3 linked regions of the Macaca mulatta genome follow. The protein of the gene in region 1 purifies or fractionates together with the protein of each later gene. This does not show direct contact. Links are inferred from orthologs where the notes say so. Each region holds a gene or a part of one and is shown in the gene's direction. Other genes may lie near its edges.

Region 1 (4,320 bases):
AAGTCTAAACGGAATCCGTGTATCTTGATAGGGAAGAAGAAAATCAAGTTCCAGCACTTCCCTCCTTATCCGCCTCTCTTTTTCCTACCCTTCCCTGAGGATAAAAATAGCCGCTTCCCAGGGCCTCACTGCAATCGAGCGTGCTGAAGCTGGGCCTAGCGTGAGAGCAGCTGCTCCCCGAGGCACGGGCTCCGCGAGAGCCCTGGGGTCAGGACGGGGGCCTGTCCGCCGGGACGAGGTGTCCCCGGACAGGGCAGGGGCCCTTGGAGCCTCACCAAGAGAGGGGGCACTGGTGCAAGTTTGACCCCGATGGTGGGCGGCTCACAAAAATACATCAGGAGGCCCGGAAGTCCATGCACTGGCCGGCTCCACCGCCTTTAAGTACACGAGGTCTATCTGCAGTTCTTAACCTCTTTGAGGGGACAAGGACTCCCTAGAACAAATGATGACATACCACCTCTCTGTGTGCACTCAAACACACATACAACACACAGAAACATGGACGTGGACACAAATACACACGGAGACACATACACTTCTGCACACAATTTCATATTATTGGAAGGCTGTCGAAGCCTGGTGTGGACCACAGATTAACAACCCCAAAGGCAGGTGGATTATAATGATGCAGAACGATTATTAAAAAATAACAATTTGGCCGGGCGCAGTGGCTCACGCCAGTAATCCCAGCACTTTGGGAGGCTGAGGTCGGTGGATCACGTGAGGTCAGGAGTTCGAGACCAGCCCAGCCAACATGGTGAAACCCCGTCTCTACTAAGAATACAAAAAATTAGGCATGGTTGCGGGCGCCTGTAATCCCAGCTACTCGGGAGGCTGTGGCAGGAGAATCACTTGAACCTAGGAGACAGAGGTTGCAGTGAGCTGAGATTGTGCCAGTGCACTCCACCTTGGGCGACTGAAAAAAGCAAGACTTCTCAAAATAAACAAATGAAAATATGAAAAATAAAATTTTGTAACATGTAAAAATAGGGTTACTAAAGCGTGCTAAGATCTTTCTGGAAAACAAATGTACGTAGTATAAATTCTAATAATAGATACGGATATGATAAAGTTGATCACCGACGGTAAGACAAAGGATGGTTTCTATATAATTTGAGTTTTCCCACTAAACAGGAAAGCATGTTGCTCTTTCGAAACCAGAACGGCCGCATCCAGGCGTTTTCGGGGACCTGGGGCGCCCACTGAGCTGCAGGCGCGGCCGGTGGCTCCAGCCTGGCCCCTCCGTCGGGAAAGGAGGGTTAGACAATAGACAAGCAAAAATTAGACGCGGTGACCGCGTGGGGCGGGACCGGCTCTTGGGGAGAGGGTGACCCGAGCCCTTCGCCCGCCGAGGCACTTTAAAACCCCAACGCGCTGCCCAGCCCGGCCTGCACAGAGAGAACGGTGCGTGCGCGCTCCCGGGGAGGTGGCGGCGCGCACGGGCGCGTCTCCGCGGGCAGCCCCCTACTCCGGACGATGCCGCCGAGGAGGCGGCGGCGGCGGCGGCGCGCTCTGGAGGTCTGAAGCCACTGCTGGCTGCCACGGGCCGGCGGCGCGATGAGCTGGGCAGCCGCCCCCGGCTCGGGGCTGTGAGCGGCTCGGGGCCGGGGGTGGGCGGCGGTGCGGCGGGCGGCAGACGCTCCTCTTCGGCGGCGGCGGCGGCCATGCGCGGGGCGGCGCGGCTGGGGCGGCCGGGCCGGAGTAGCCTCCCGGGGGCCCGCGGCCTGAGGGCCCCGCCGCCGCCGCCGCCGCTGCTGCTTCTGCTGGCGCTGTTGCCGCTACTGCCCGCGCCTGGCGCCGCCGCCGCCCCCGCCCCACGGCCCCCGGAGCTGCAGTCGGCTGCCGCGGGGCCCAGCGTGAGTCTCTACCTGAGCGAGGACGAGGTGCGCCGGCTGATCGGTGAGTGGGGCCGCCGAGGCCGGGGCGGGCAGGTCAGGCCGGCGGGGGCAGCTTCCGGCCGCCGGCGGCTCAGTCTGCGCTCCGTGGACCGCGGGCGAGTGCCCTCCCCGCCCCCCGCGCCCGGATTTGCCTCGCGGCCGGGTCTCTGCCTGCCGTGCTGGCTGGGAGGTGTGGTCCCTGCCCGGTCCCCCGCTCCGGCTCAGCCTTCGTGCTGCCCTCGCTGCCCTGCCGCGATAGACCCACATTCACCCCATCCCATCCTCCTTACTGCCTCCTTAGCCCTTTTCCCTAGAAGAGTCAAGCGCCCTTACAACTTTTCTTCCTTGCTATACGAAGTTTTTTTGACCCTTTCTATGCGTGTCACTCTAGGGTCCTCGATTTTGAATACCTCGAAATTTACGTTTTAGACTGAACTTGCAAACCCTTTGCTGTGGTTTTGATGCCCCAGTAGAGGCCACGGTCTGTGCTTACCCTTTTACAAAAAAAAAAAAAAAAAAGAGAAAGGGGGAGGTTATAAGGGCACCAAATGTTCGTGGCAGCCTCCAAATCTTGGGACGCAGATTTGGAGCATATGCTTAGATTCTAAGCATATTTTTAGTGAATGAATCGCCAGGTAGCAGACCTTTTTAGTTTCAATACCTTTTTGGTTTTTGCATTGGGTGTGTTGGGAGTTTGGACTGATTCTGTACTTCTGGGCCGCTCTCCTACTTTGAATACCTTGAAGGGAAGCAAGAACTTAGTCTTGGGTCGGACTGTGGTTCCATTTACTTGCTTAGCTTTGTTGTTTGGGGAGTTAATTTGAAAAATTGCTGGGGTCTTACGTTAGGACTTTGTGGATTCTGGAAATGACCCTTTAGAGGAAGATCTGACAGGAACGACCCCCCAAAAAGAAAGTCCTTGGTACCTAGACATTTGCATTCTTTTGTTATTATGGCAGTATCTTTATTTCATCTCAAGGTGGTGCTTCTGAGTGTTTGAGGGGAAAAATTATTCTCTGTTGCATCATTTGTCAGTATTATTTTTTTAAGTAATAAGACTTTGTTGAGGTGTGTTGAGATTGACTCAAGGTAGAAATGGAATTACTTATAGCAGACTCTTCAGACACTACATGTACGGATTTGCAGTTTTTAACCAAAGAAGAATGCTGTAAGTCGTGCCATTCTTAATCCTTCTTAGTCTAGTTGAATTAGCTGAATGTAGTTTAGCTGAATTAAAACTGCTAATTGGGGTAATACTTGGAACACAAGACTAAGACTTAGGAAAAATAATACAACACGACTCATGTCACATTAATTTTAGAAATATTAACGTATTGTCCGGGCGCGGTGGCTCACGCCTGTAATCCCAGCACTTTGGGAGGCCGAGGCGGGCGGATCACGAGGTCAGGAGATCGAGACCATCCTGGCTAACACAGTGAGACCCCGTCTCTACTAAAAATACAAAAAAAAAAAAAAAAAAAAAATTAGCCGCGCGTGTTGGCGGGCGCCTGTAGTCCCAGCTACTCCGGAGGCTGAGGCAGGAGAATGGCTTGAACCCGGGAGGCGGAGCTTGCAGTGAGCCGAGATCACGACACTGCACTCCAGCCTGGGCGACAGAGTGACACTCCCCGTCTCACAAAAAGAAAAAAAACATTAACGTATTATGCATGGTTTTGTAAAGGCTTTTTAGTTAAAAGCACTTATATAGCTTGTGAGTTTGTTTACATGGGTAAACAAAGTCAGAGGTGAAGGTAGGGGACAGAGGACAACCAGGGACTGACATTGAATTCTTGCCGTATACCTGCCCCTACATGCTTTATACATGCTTTATACACATAATTTCTTCTAATTTTCTCATGGCCCAGTGAAGTAGGTGGCATTATTCCCATTGTAGAGATGAGGAAAGTGGGATTTTTAAGTAACTTGCTCAAGGTCACACAGTTCATAATTTTTTTTTTTTTAAGACGGAGTCTCGCTCTTGTCGCCCAGGCTGGAGTGCAGTGGGGCCATCTGGGCCCACTGCAACCTCTGCTTCCCGAGTTTAAGCGATTCTCCTGCCTCAGCCTCCCAAGTAGCTGGGATTAGAGGCACGTGCCACCACTCCCGGCTATTTTTTGTATTTTCAGTAGAGACAGCGTTTCACCATGTTGGTCAGGCTGGTCTGGAACTCCTGACCTCGTGATCTGCCCACCTCAGCCTCCCACAGTGCTGGATTACAGGTGTGAGCCACTGCACCTGGCCTAGTTCATATTTTTTTTTAAAAAAGAAACAGTGTTGACATAGGCAGCAAAGTTTTATTGAATGAAATGAAGATATTGTGTATAGAAGTTTGATTATGGCATGGTGGAAAATAAATCATTGCTAATTAGCACTTGAGTTATGTATCTGTTACCTTATTTGGCCTGGAACTAATTTTCTTAGCAATATTTGCAGCAGAGGAAGC
Region 2 (4,206 bases), on another chromosome or scaffold:
ATGTTTATTCACCAGGCGCGCGCACACACGGTCTACCCCCATAAGCAAGCACGACGACAGGAATGTCAAGCATTTAAACAAAGACAGGCATCCTTCCCCCCCCTCCACCCACCGCCCCCCGCCCCCCCCCCCCCCGCAACCATCCAAAGTCTGAGCTCCCAAAAAAGGATCTTTCTCCCGCTCTCTGGAGTTTGATGTTCTCTCTTCACTACTGCAGCCCGTCACGGTTTTTCAGAACAGAGTGGCTTTCTGGGCTCTTGTGTGTTCCCCAAGACCCCGATAACCATGTCCTAACCAAGATGCTAAATCGCGAACCGGAGACACTTTCCGGGTGGAGGGGGTGGGGGGAGGACGTCGTCTGAGAGAGAGGGAGAAGGAGAAATCTATCCTGACACAGCTCGAAAAGCTCTCACGCGTGAACTGGGCATTAGTTAAGGGAGGAGGAAATTTACCAGCCCGAGGGAGGGAAAACAAGTCCCCCAGAGAAGAAGACGGAGGTACTCGCTGGGGGGCGTTGAGCTTTGGCTTAAAGAGGTCTGGCTGGGATTGGGCACACTTTGAGCGGCCCCTGGAGCTGAGGCTGGGCTTTCCCGAGCGCGGAGGCTGGCTGACGCTCCCTCCCGCCTCCTTACCCCGGGCCCTCCTCCCTCGCTCTCTCCCTGTGTGTAGTTTCGGCGGCTGGGCAGCTACTGCCGCCGCCGCTGCAGCAGCAGCGTCAGGGACAAGCCTGATCCGTGAGCGAGCGAGCTCCCAGCAGCAACCACCACTTTGGGCAACTTGCGGGTTTCCTGCTCGCGGGTAGCGAACGGGAGCTTCCTACTAGCGGTTCAGTGTCTCCGAGCCGCTGCAGCCTGAGTGGCGGCGGGAGCGCCCGCACCAGACTCTCCCAGACGCGAAAGGGACGAGACAACTGCGGAATTCACCAGCCGTGCCAGGGCACTTCCGAGGCCACAAACGACTGGCACTTTTTCTCCCCTTGGCAAACTGGATTTTTTTTTTTTTTTAAAGCTACTTGGCAGCTGTCTCTGACTCCACCTCCCCTTCCACCCCCGCCCCAAAGCCTTTGGCTTTTCTTCGGAAATCCAGACAGAATTGGGCATCTTTGTTAATTGCCGTTGGGGACGCCTAGCCGTGCGCTTTCGCCGGCTAACGTCGCCTGTGCTCCGAGCCTGGTTTGCTCACCTTTGAACTGCAAAGGGATCAAGTTCAGCTCGAGTTCCCTGCATTGGGACTAAGAGGAAGGAGAGAGAGCGTGCAAGAGAGCGAGTGGGAGAGGGGGAAAGGGGAAAGGAGAGGAGGGAGGAGAGAGAGGAGGGAGGAGAGAGAAAGGGAGGGAGGGAGGGGAGGGATCGAGAGAGAGCGGGGAGAGAGAGAGAGAGGCTGCAATCTCCTCCCTGAATCGCGCACAGCGCTGCAGATCCCACTGCTCCGACATGCGGGCCGAATGCAGGTGAGAAAAGGCACGGACTCTGCGGCTGCGAACCCAAACTTGGGCACCGCACGGTGCGCACGGCTCAGCCTTCGCCCCCGCGGGCGAAAGGCTGCTGCGGTTTCAGGCGGCGGCTTCGTGACTAATGACCTTGCGCAGAGTTGTTAAGAAAAAAGAGAAACCCGCGCTCTCCGGGGTGAGAAGGGACTGACTCTCTGGGCGTCTCTGAAGATGGCTCGGGCTTCTCTTTGGCGCGCCGGGGGGACCCGGACGCGGACCGCGCTGTGACGCGAGTAGTCTCCACTGCACCGTGCCCGAAGCGACGTGCCGGGGGATTTTTCATTCTCTATCTGTTGACTGGCTCCCCCGCTGCCTGAGCAGAGTCGGAGTTGAGACTGGCTTGTTGCTGGCCCCAGCGCCTGGTGCAGGAAGCGACTCACGTTTGCCTGGGCGGCCGGAGTCGGAGCAGAGCCTGGGTTTGGAGTGAGTGTCTGGAACGTGAATTGGACTCAACTCGAGTAGCAGCAAAGACCGGCGGGCTGGCAGGCGGGGGAGGCTGCAAGCTCGTTCCCCACCTCTTCCCAGCCCCACTGCCCGTCTGCCGGAGCAGTTCTGGCCCCTTCCGACAGAGCGGGGACGAGAGCCGGGGATTCTCCGCCCGCTGCGGGAATGACTCTGGGTGGGGGGGCGCCGAACCCGCGGCGCGCAGTGTCCCGTGAACTGTGAGTACTGCGACTGAACGGCGGCCGGCAAGCGGGCGATTAGCACCCATTGCATGAATTATGAAACAATAACTTTCGGAAGAAGCAGGAGAAAAAAAAAAGCATCTATCGCTGCCCTCCCACCTGCATTCCCGGCCGACTCTCCACGCCGCTTTTGCCCCCTCCCTCCCCTCTCTCTCGCTCCTTCCTTTCCGGGAGAGGGGAGAGGACTGGGAGGAGGGCAAGCGGCCGGCCCCGGAGGAGGGGGGCGCCGAGGGGGCTGTGGTTAGAAGGAGCAGTAGCAGCAGCAGCAGGAGAAGATGCTGAGGATGCGGACCGCGGGATGGGCGCGCGGCTGGTGCTTGGGCTGTTGCCTCCTCCTGCCGCTCTCGCTCAGCCTGGCGGCCGCCAAGCAGCTCCTCCGGTACCGGCTGGCCGAGGAGGGCCCCGCCGACGTCCGCATCGGCAACGTGGCTTCAGACCTGGGCATCGTGACCGGATCGGGTGAGGTGACTTTCAGCCTGGAGTCCGGCTCCGAGTACCTGAAGATCGACAACCTTACGGGCGAGCTGAGCACGAGCGAGAGGCGCATCGACCGCGAGAAGCTGCCCCAGTGTCAGATGATCTTCGACGAGAACGAGTGCTTCCTGGACTTCGAGGTGTCGGTGATCGGGCCCTCGCAGAGCTGGGTAGACCTGTTTGAGGGTCGGGTCATCGTGCTCGACATCAACGACAACACGCCCACCTTCCCGTCGCCCGTGCTCACGCTCACGGTGGAGGAGAACCGGCCGGTGGGCACACTCTACCTGCTGCCCACCGCCACTGACCGCGACTTTGGCCGCAACGGCATCGAGCGCTACGAGCTGCTCCAGGAGCCCGGAGGCGGCGGCAGCGGCGGCGAGAGCCGGCGCGCCGGGGCGGCCGACAGCGCCCCCTATCCCGGGGGCGGCGGGAACGGCGCGAGCGGCGGCGGCTCGGGAGGCTCCAAGCGGCGGCTGGACGCATCAGAGGGCGGCGGCGGCACCAACCCCGGCGGCCGCAGCAGCGTGTTCGAGCTGCAGGTGGCGGACACCCCGGATGGCGAGAAGCAGCCGCAGCTGATCGTGAAGGGGGCGCTGGACCGCGAGCAGCGCGACTCCTACGAGCTGACCCTGCGGGTGCGCGACGGCGGCGACCCGCCTCGCTCCTCGCAGGCCATCCTACGGGTCCTCATCACCGACGTGAACGACAACAGCCCCCGCTTCGAGAAGAGCGTGTACGAGGCCGACTTAGCTGAGAACAGCGCCCCGGGGACCCCCATCCTGCAACTGCGCGCAGCTGACTTGGACGTGGGGGTCAATGGGCAGATCGAGTACGTGTTCGGGGCGGCCACCGAGTCGGTGAGGCGACTGCTGCGCCTTGACGAGACGTCCGGCTGGCTCAGCGTCCTGCACCGGATCGACCGCGAGGAGGTGAACCAGCTGCGCTTCACGGTCATGGCCCGCGACCGTGGGCAGCCCCCCAAGACCGACAAGGCCACCGTGGTCCTTAACATCAAAGACGAGAATGACAATGTGCCATCCATTGAAATCCGCAAGATTGGGCGCATCCCCCTCAAGGACGGGGTGGCCAACGTAGCCGAGGACGTTCTGGTCGACACCCCCATCGCTCTGGTGCAGGTGTCCGACCGAGACCAAGGCGAGAACGGGGTGGTCACCTGCACCGTGGTGGGCGACGTGCCCTTCCAGCTCAAGCCAGCCAGCGACACCGAGGGCGACCAGAACAAGAAAAAGTACTTTTTGCACACCTCGACCCCTCTGGACTATGAGACCACCCGGGAGTTCAACGTGGTCATCGTGGCGGTGGACTCAGGCAGCCCCAGCCTCTCGAGCAACAACTCCCTGATTGTGAAGGTGGGAGACACGAACGACAACCCGCCTGTGTTCGGCCAGTCGGTGGTGGAGGTTTACTTCCCTGAGAACAACATCCCGGGTGAGAGGGTGGCCACAGTGCTGGCGACAGACGCAGACAGCGGAAAGAACGCTGAGATCGCCTACTCGCTGGACTCCTCTGTGATGGGGATCTTTGCCATCGATC
Region 3 (4,285 bases), on another chromosome or scaffold:
AGGTCACTTACCCACTGTCCTATAATCAGCAGATGGCATGACTGGCATTGGAGTTTAGGTCTGTGCTTTTCTGTACATTACATCCTTTTTAATGATGCGAAGGAAAAATGCAGTAGGGTCAATGAGACAAATGGAATGCAGGTTGCTGGGGAAAGAATGCAGGTTGTGCGTTACAAATGCACACACTTTACAGTGCCACTTGGGTTCTGAACTTTGCGGTTAAATTGATTTAAAAACTGGTCTAGAGGTGGTAAAACTTAAACAGCCAATGAAAATATTTGGGTTTGCTTCAGGAGGTCGCAAACCACTTCTTGGTTAGTAGAAATGGGAAATTAAGGGCCACCTTCAGGCGTTTAACTGAATCGTCCTGGGGATTTAATTTGGCTTTCGACTCAATGCTAAGGTTTTGTTGCTTTTGGTTTTTAAAGTAATGTAAGTTTATCGTGCCAACGGTAAGATATCTCTCTGGACGCGTGCACCTGCTCTCGCAATCACTGACTGCGGTCAGCATCCTCCTTAGAGCAGCGCTCCGGGCCACTTGGATCCCGGCCTCAATTTACTAAGCGAACTCAGAGGATGCCCAGAGTCCTGGACTGCAGAGCCGCTCGCGAGAGGCACCGGGGCTGTAACCGCGCAACCTCGTGCCGTGGGCGGGGACGAGGGAGGCTTCTCCCGCCGGTGTGCGCCCTGGCGCGAAAGTGAGGCGCGGGCGGGGCTGGTCACGCGCCTGGCTTCCTGCAGTGCGAACCCTGGAAATCCCGGAGACTTCGCAGTTGCCGAAGGGACCCGAAGAAGTGGGATGTGCAAAAGCGCCGGCTGGAAATCCCGGCTGTGTCTCCGTCAACTCTTCACGCAACAGAGGGCTCCCCCGGCCCTTGGTTTTTACCGGGCCGCCTGGTCCCACTCGGCGAAAAAAATTCCAGAGCTGCTGCCGTGGCGATGGCGTGGAGGGCTGCCTCCTCCGCGTGCGCGGCGCCCCTGCTTCTGTGGTGCGCACTGATGACCGCAGGTAGGGGGCGGCGGCGGCTGGGGTGGGCTGGGGCGGCGGCGGCTGGGGTGGGCTGGGGCGGCGGCGGCTGGGGTGGGCTGGGGCGGAGGCGGCTGGGGTGGGCTGGGGCGGAGGCGCCTGGCGCCAGAGGGTCCTTGCGGTTGGTTCCCTAGCGCCCCTCCAGGGGACCGCGACGTCCTGGGGGCTGGGGGCTCTATTTTCTTTTCTTTTTCTTTTTCTTTTTTTTTTTTTTTTTTGAGACGGAGTGTCGCTCTCGCCCAGGCTGGAGTACGGTGGCGCGACCTCGGCTGACTCCAAGCTCCGCCTCCTGGGTTCACGCCATTCTCCTGCCTCAGCCTCCCGAGTAGCTGGGACTACGGGCGCCCGCTACCACGACCGGCTAATTTTTTGTAGTTTTAGTAGAGACGGGGTTTCACCGTGTTAGCCAAGATGGTCTCGATCTCCTTGACCTCGTGATCCACCCACGTCGGCCTTAAAAAGTGCTGGGATTACAGGCGGGAGCCACCGCGCCGGGCCTGGAGGCTCTATTTTCAAGCGCCCCTCCTTTGTGAGATGCGGAGTCCCCGATGCAACAGGTTGATATTGAAGGCCTGCCCTGTGCAGGGTCGGCACCTGTGCGAGCGGAAACGGTGCTTCCTTGGATGTCGCGCACTCAGTGCCTCGGTAATCTGCTCCTCTCTTGCATCATCCAAGGGGTCGGAGCAGAGAAGAAAATCAGGGAATGGGGAAAATAGGAAAATGATTCACCCGCGTATCAGTGGGTCCTCCTGGCTTTGCTAAGTAAGGTCTTTATTGAGAGAGGGAGGGGAGTGTTTTGATCTTGAGGTGACCTTCAAAAGTTCTCTTACTTTTTTGGGAACTCGTATGGGAATGTTCTGCGTTAACTTAAACAGGATACTACAAGGCTGAAACGCGTATGTAGAGATATTTAAACTCATTTCTAACTAGAAGAATGGCAATTAAACAACAAGATGCTGCTTGACCCTTACTAGGCTGGCCACAATACGCTCCTGGGTACCAGGTGCTGGAGGGGGAATGTAGGAATCCCGGAGGCGCGCTCTGGGCGCCCCAAGTCACTGCAGGTGGAGGCGAGCCGCGTGTGGACCTCACCGTGGAGCGCTGGGCGGCAGCTTCACACCACGCCCTTGCTGCTTGCCGAGCAGCGTGAACGGATGTTGAAGGCAAAGAGCCAAGCAGTGGACATACAATGTAATACCCTTTCCACAGTTTGAGAAACAGAAGATACAGCCTTAAAGAGAACAAAAATGTATGTTAAACACCTTAGAATGACTGCCCAATGGGAGAGGGAAATGAAAATAAAAACGAGGGAATAGCATTTCTATACATTTGCAATGAGCAATGTGAAAATAAGACAGTTCCGAGTGAAGTGTGGGCGGCGACGAAAGCCAAATTTGCGCTGGACTCGGCGCTGGTGGCTGGAAGCGCTTCCACGCCCTCAGTCTGGGTCTCCTCGAGCTCGAAGTGGCGCCTGGGGGCTCCCGCCGCGCCCACCCGGTCCCGGGCCCGGCGCCCCCTCCTCAGGAGCCTCGGGTGCCAGCCACTTTCGTCCGGTCCTCGTCCCCACGGATGCTGGCGGTGGTGGAGAAGGGCCGCGCGGTCTCTGGGAAGCGGAGAGGAAGGAACGCCCTTTGGCTGTGCGGCGGCGCTTTAGTGGCAGCAGCAGCAGCTCCTGGGAGGAAGCTAATTCGGGCTCGTCCAGCCACAAGGAGTGAGGCGACCGCTGCATGACGGTCGGACCCCAGAACCAGGCGTTGGTGCTGGACTTCGGCACCGGAAGACACTGTGAAATTGAAAACCATCGGAAGCTTTCGCCTAACAAATCATTTCCGCCCACAAGAAATCCCTACACCTTAGAATGGAACATCTATTTCCCGGGCTGTTATTCTGTGTGGAAGCAAATTTAAAGTGGTACAAGAAAAAAAAAAATCCAATCAGACAAAGGAATTCGTCAGATTTTAATGCAAGATATTCTAGCCCGTCTTTGTATGAGACTGTCTTTAAAGGTTGTTGATATAGAAAATGTTTTAAAGAACGTTAGGTTTTATTTCAGAAATGAAGTTCAAAAGAGCAATTTGTAAAGCTGTAGTTAACAATCCTCCCTGGTTGGAGGACTCTAGAACGGGAGATTCTCTATGCAGGTTATACCACTAGTTGATTTGAGAAGATAAATGCATAGATGCTTTTCCTTGGAAACAAGACTGCAGAAAATTCCAAGGATCTAGTCCTTGAAAAAGGGGAATGCTCTTAAGCTGTTATTAAGGTACTAAACTCTGTACCTTTAAATGAAAATACATGGAGGTCCGGGGTGAGCGCTTGGGCGCTCTGAAAATAGACGACGTTTCCCAAATTTGCCTTCTAAATTTTGATTTGTTGATTTAAATCTTTTAAATTTATGTAGTCTGGCACTCAGGTTTGTATTCCTTTTAAGCACATGTTAGTGTTTTGGTATTTTCCCCTCCCCCTCCGACCCCCCAATTCTTTTTTTTTTTTTTTTTTTTTTTTTTTGGGTAGTCTCTTTTCATTTGTAAGAGTGACAATAGAACTAGGTGGCCTGGCTATTTCTCTCGTATCCTTGGCTCCTCCATTCTTTGGTTGGCCACCAGGGGGAAGCATACTGTTTTTTGGTTACAGTTGACCCTATCTTCATTTTGTAGGTCAAGTCTGTTTTTGCCTTGATACATAGAACATAAAGCTTGTCACCATGTTTGCCTAATGTATTATTTTTAAAAATAGACTTGCACAAACCTTTGAGTAAGTTGGCAGGTTTTTGGATACATTTTTTGTTAACATTAATTTTGAAAACTTTATTTAGATATGTTGGGTGTGACTAATGAAAGGACATGTTTGATGGCAACAAGGGGAATTCGGTTTCTGACATTTATCTAAATATTGATGTCTAGCTCTGCATTGTTAGTAATGAGTCTGACTTCTTTGGAGTTGCACTCTTCTTTGAAACAGCAAATGTAATATTTTGAACTGTCCTTGCACTTTTTGTTGGATTGGTGTAAGCGTAAACTTGCTGGCAACCTACTGTTCTAAAATAGAAAACATCTAGCCAGTCGCAGTGGCTCATACCTGTAATCCCAACACCTGAGGAGGCAGTGGGAGGATTGCTTGAGCCCAGGAGTTGGAGACCAGCCTGGGCAACTTAGTAAGTCTCCATCTCTACAAAAAATCAAAAAATTAGCTGAGCATGGTGGCATGTGCCTGTAGTCCCAACTACTTGGGAGGCTGAGGCAGGAGGTTCACTTGAGC

What was found. Proteins that work in one complex are often made in the same cells at the same time.
Region 2: the proteins of RYK (region 1) and PCDH7 purify together in Homo sapiens (affinity purification with mass spectrometry; 3 studies listed by BioGRID and IntAct, with this or other methods). This does not show direct contact. The link is inferred for Macaca mulatta from reciprocal best matches to the Homo sapiens genes RYK and PCDH7.
Region 3: the proteins of RYK (region 1) and NCR3LG1 purify together in Homo sapiens (affinity purification with mass spectrometry; 3 studies listed by BioGRID and IntAct, counting the BioPlex papers as one, with this or other methods). This does not show direct contact. The link is inferred for Macaca mulatta from reciprocal best matches to the Homo sapiens genes RYK and NCR3LG1.

What each region holds. Positions count from the first base shown.
Region 1 is NC_133407.1:37,290,981-37,295,300, reverse strand, and holds the start of RYK (tyrosine-protein kinase RYK), read left to right. Parts: upstream 1-1,507; 5' UTR 1,508-1,664; coding exon 1,665-1,899; intron 1,900-4,320. UniProt on the Homo sapiens protein: May be a coreceptor along with FZD8 of Wnt proteins, such as WNT1, WNT3, WNT3A and WNT5A. Involved in neuron differentiation, axon guidance, corpus callosum establishment and neurite outgrowth.
Region 2 is NC_133410.1:29,848,781-29,852,986, forward strand, and holds the start of PCDH7 (protocadherin-7), read left to right. Parts: upstream 1-1,382; 5' UTR 1,383-2,450; coding exon 2,451-4,206.
Region 3 is NC_133419.1:48,113,598-48,117,882, reverse strand, and holds the start of NCR3LG1 (natural cytotoxicity triggering receptor 3 ligand 1), read left to right. Parts: upstream 1-1,461; 5' UTR 1,462-1,575; coding exon 1,576-1,672; intron 1,673-4,285. UniProt on the Homo sapiens protein: Triggers NCR3-dependent natural killer cell activation.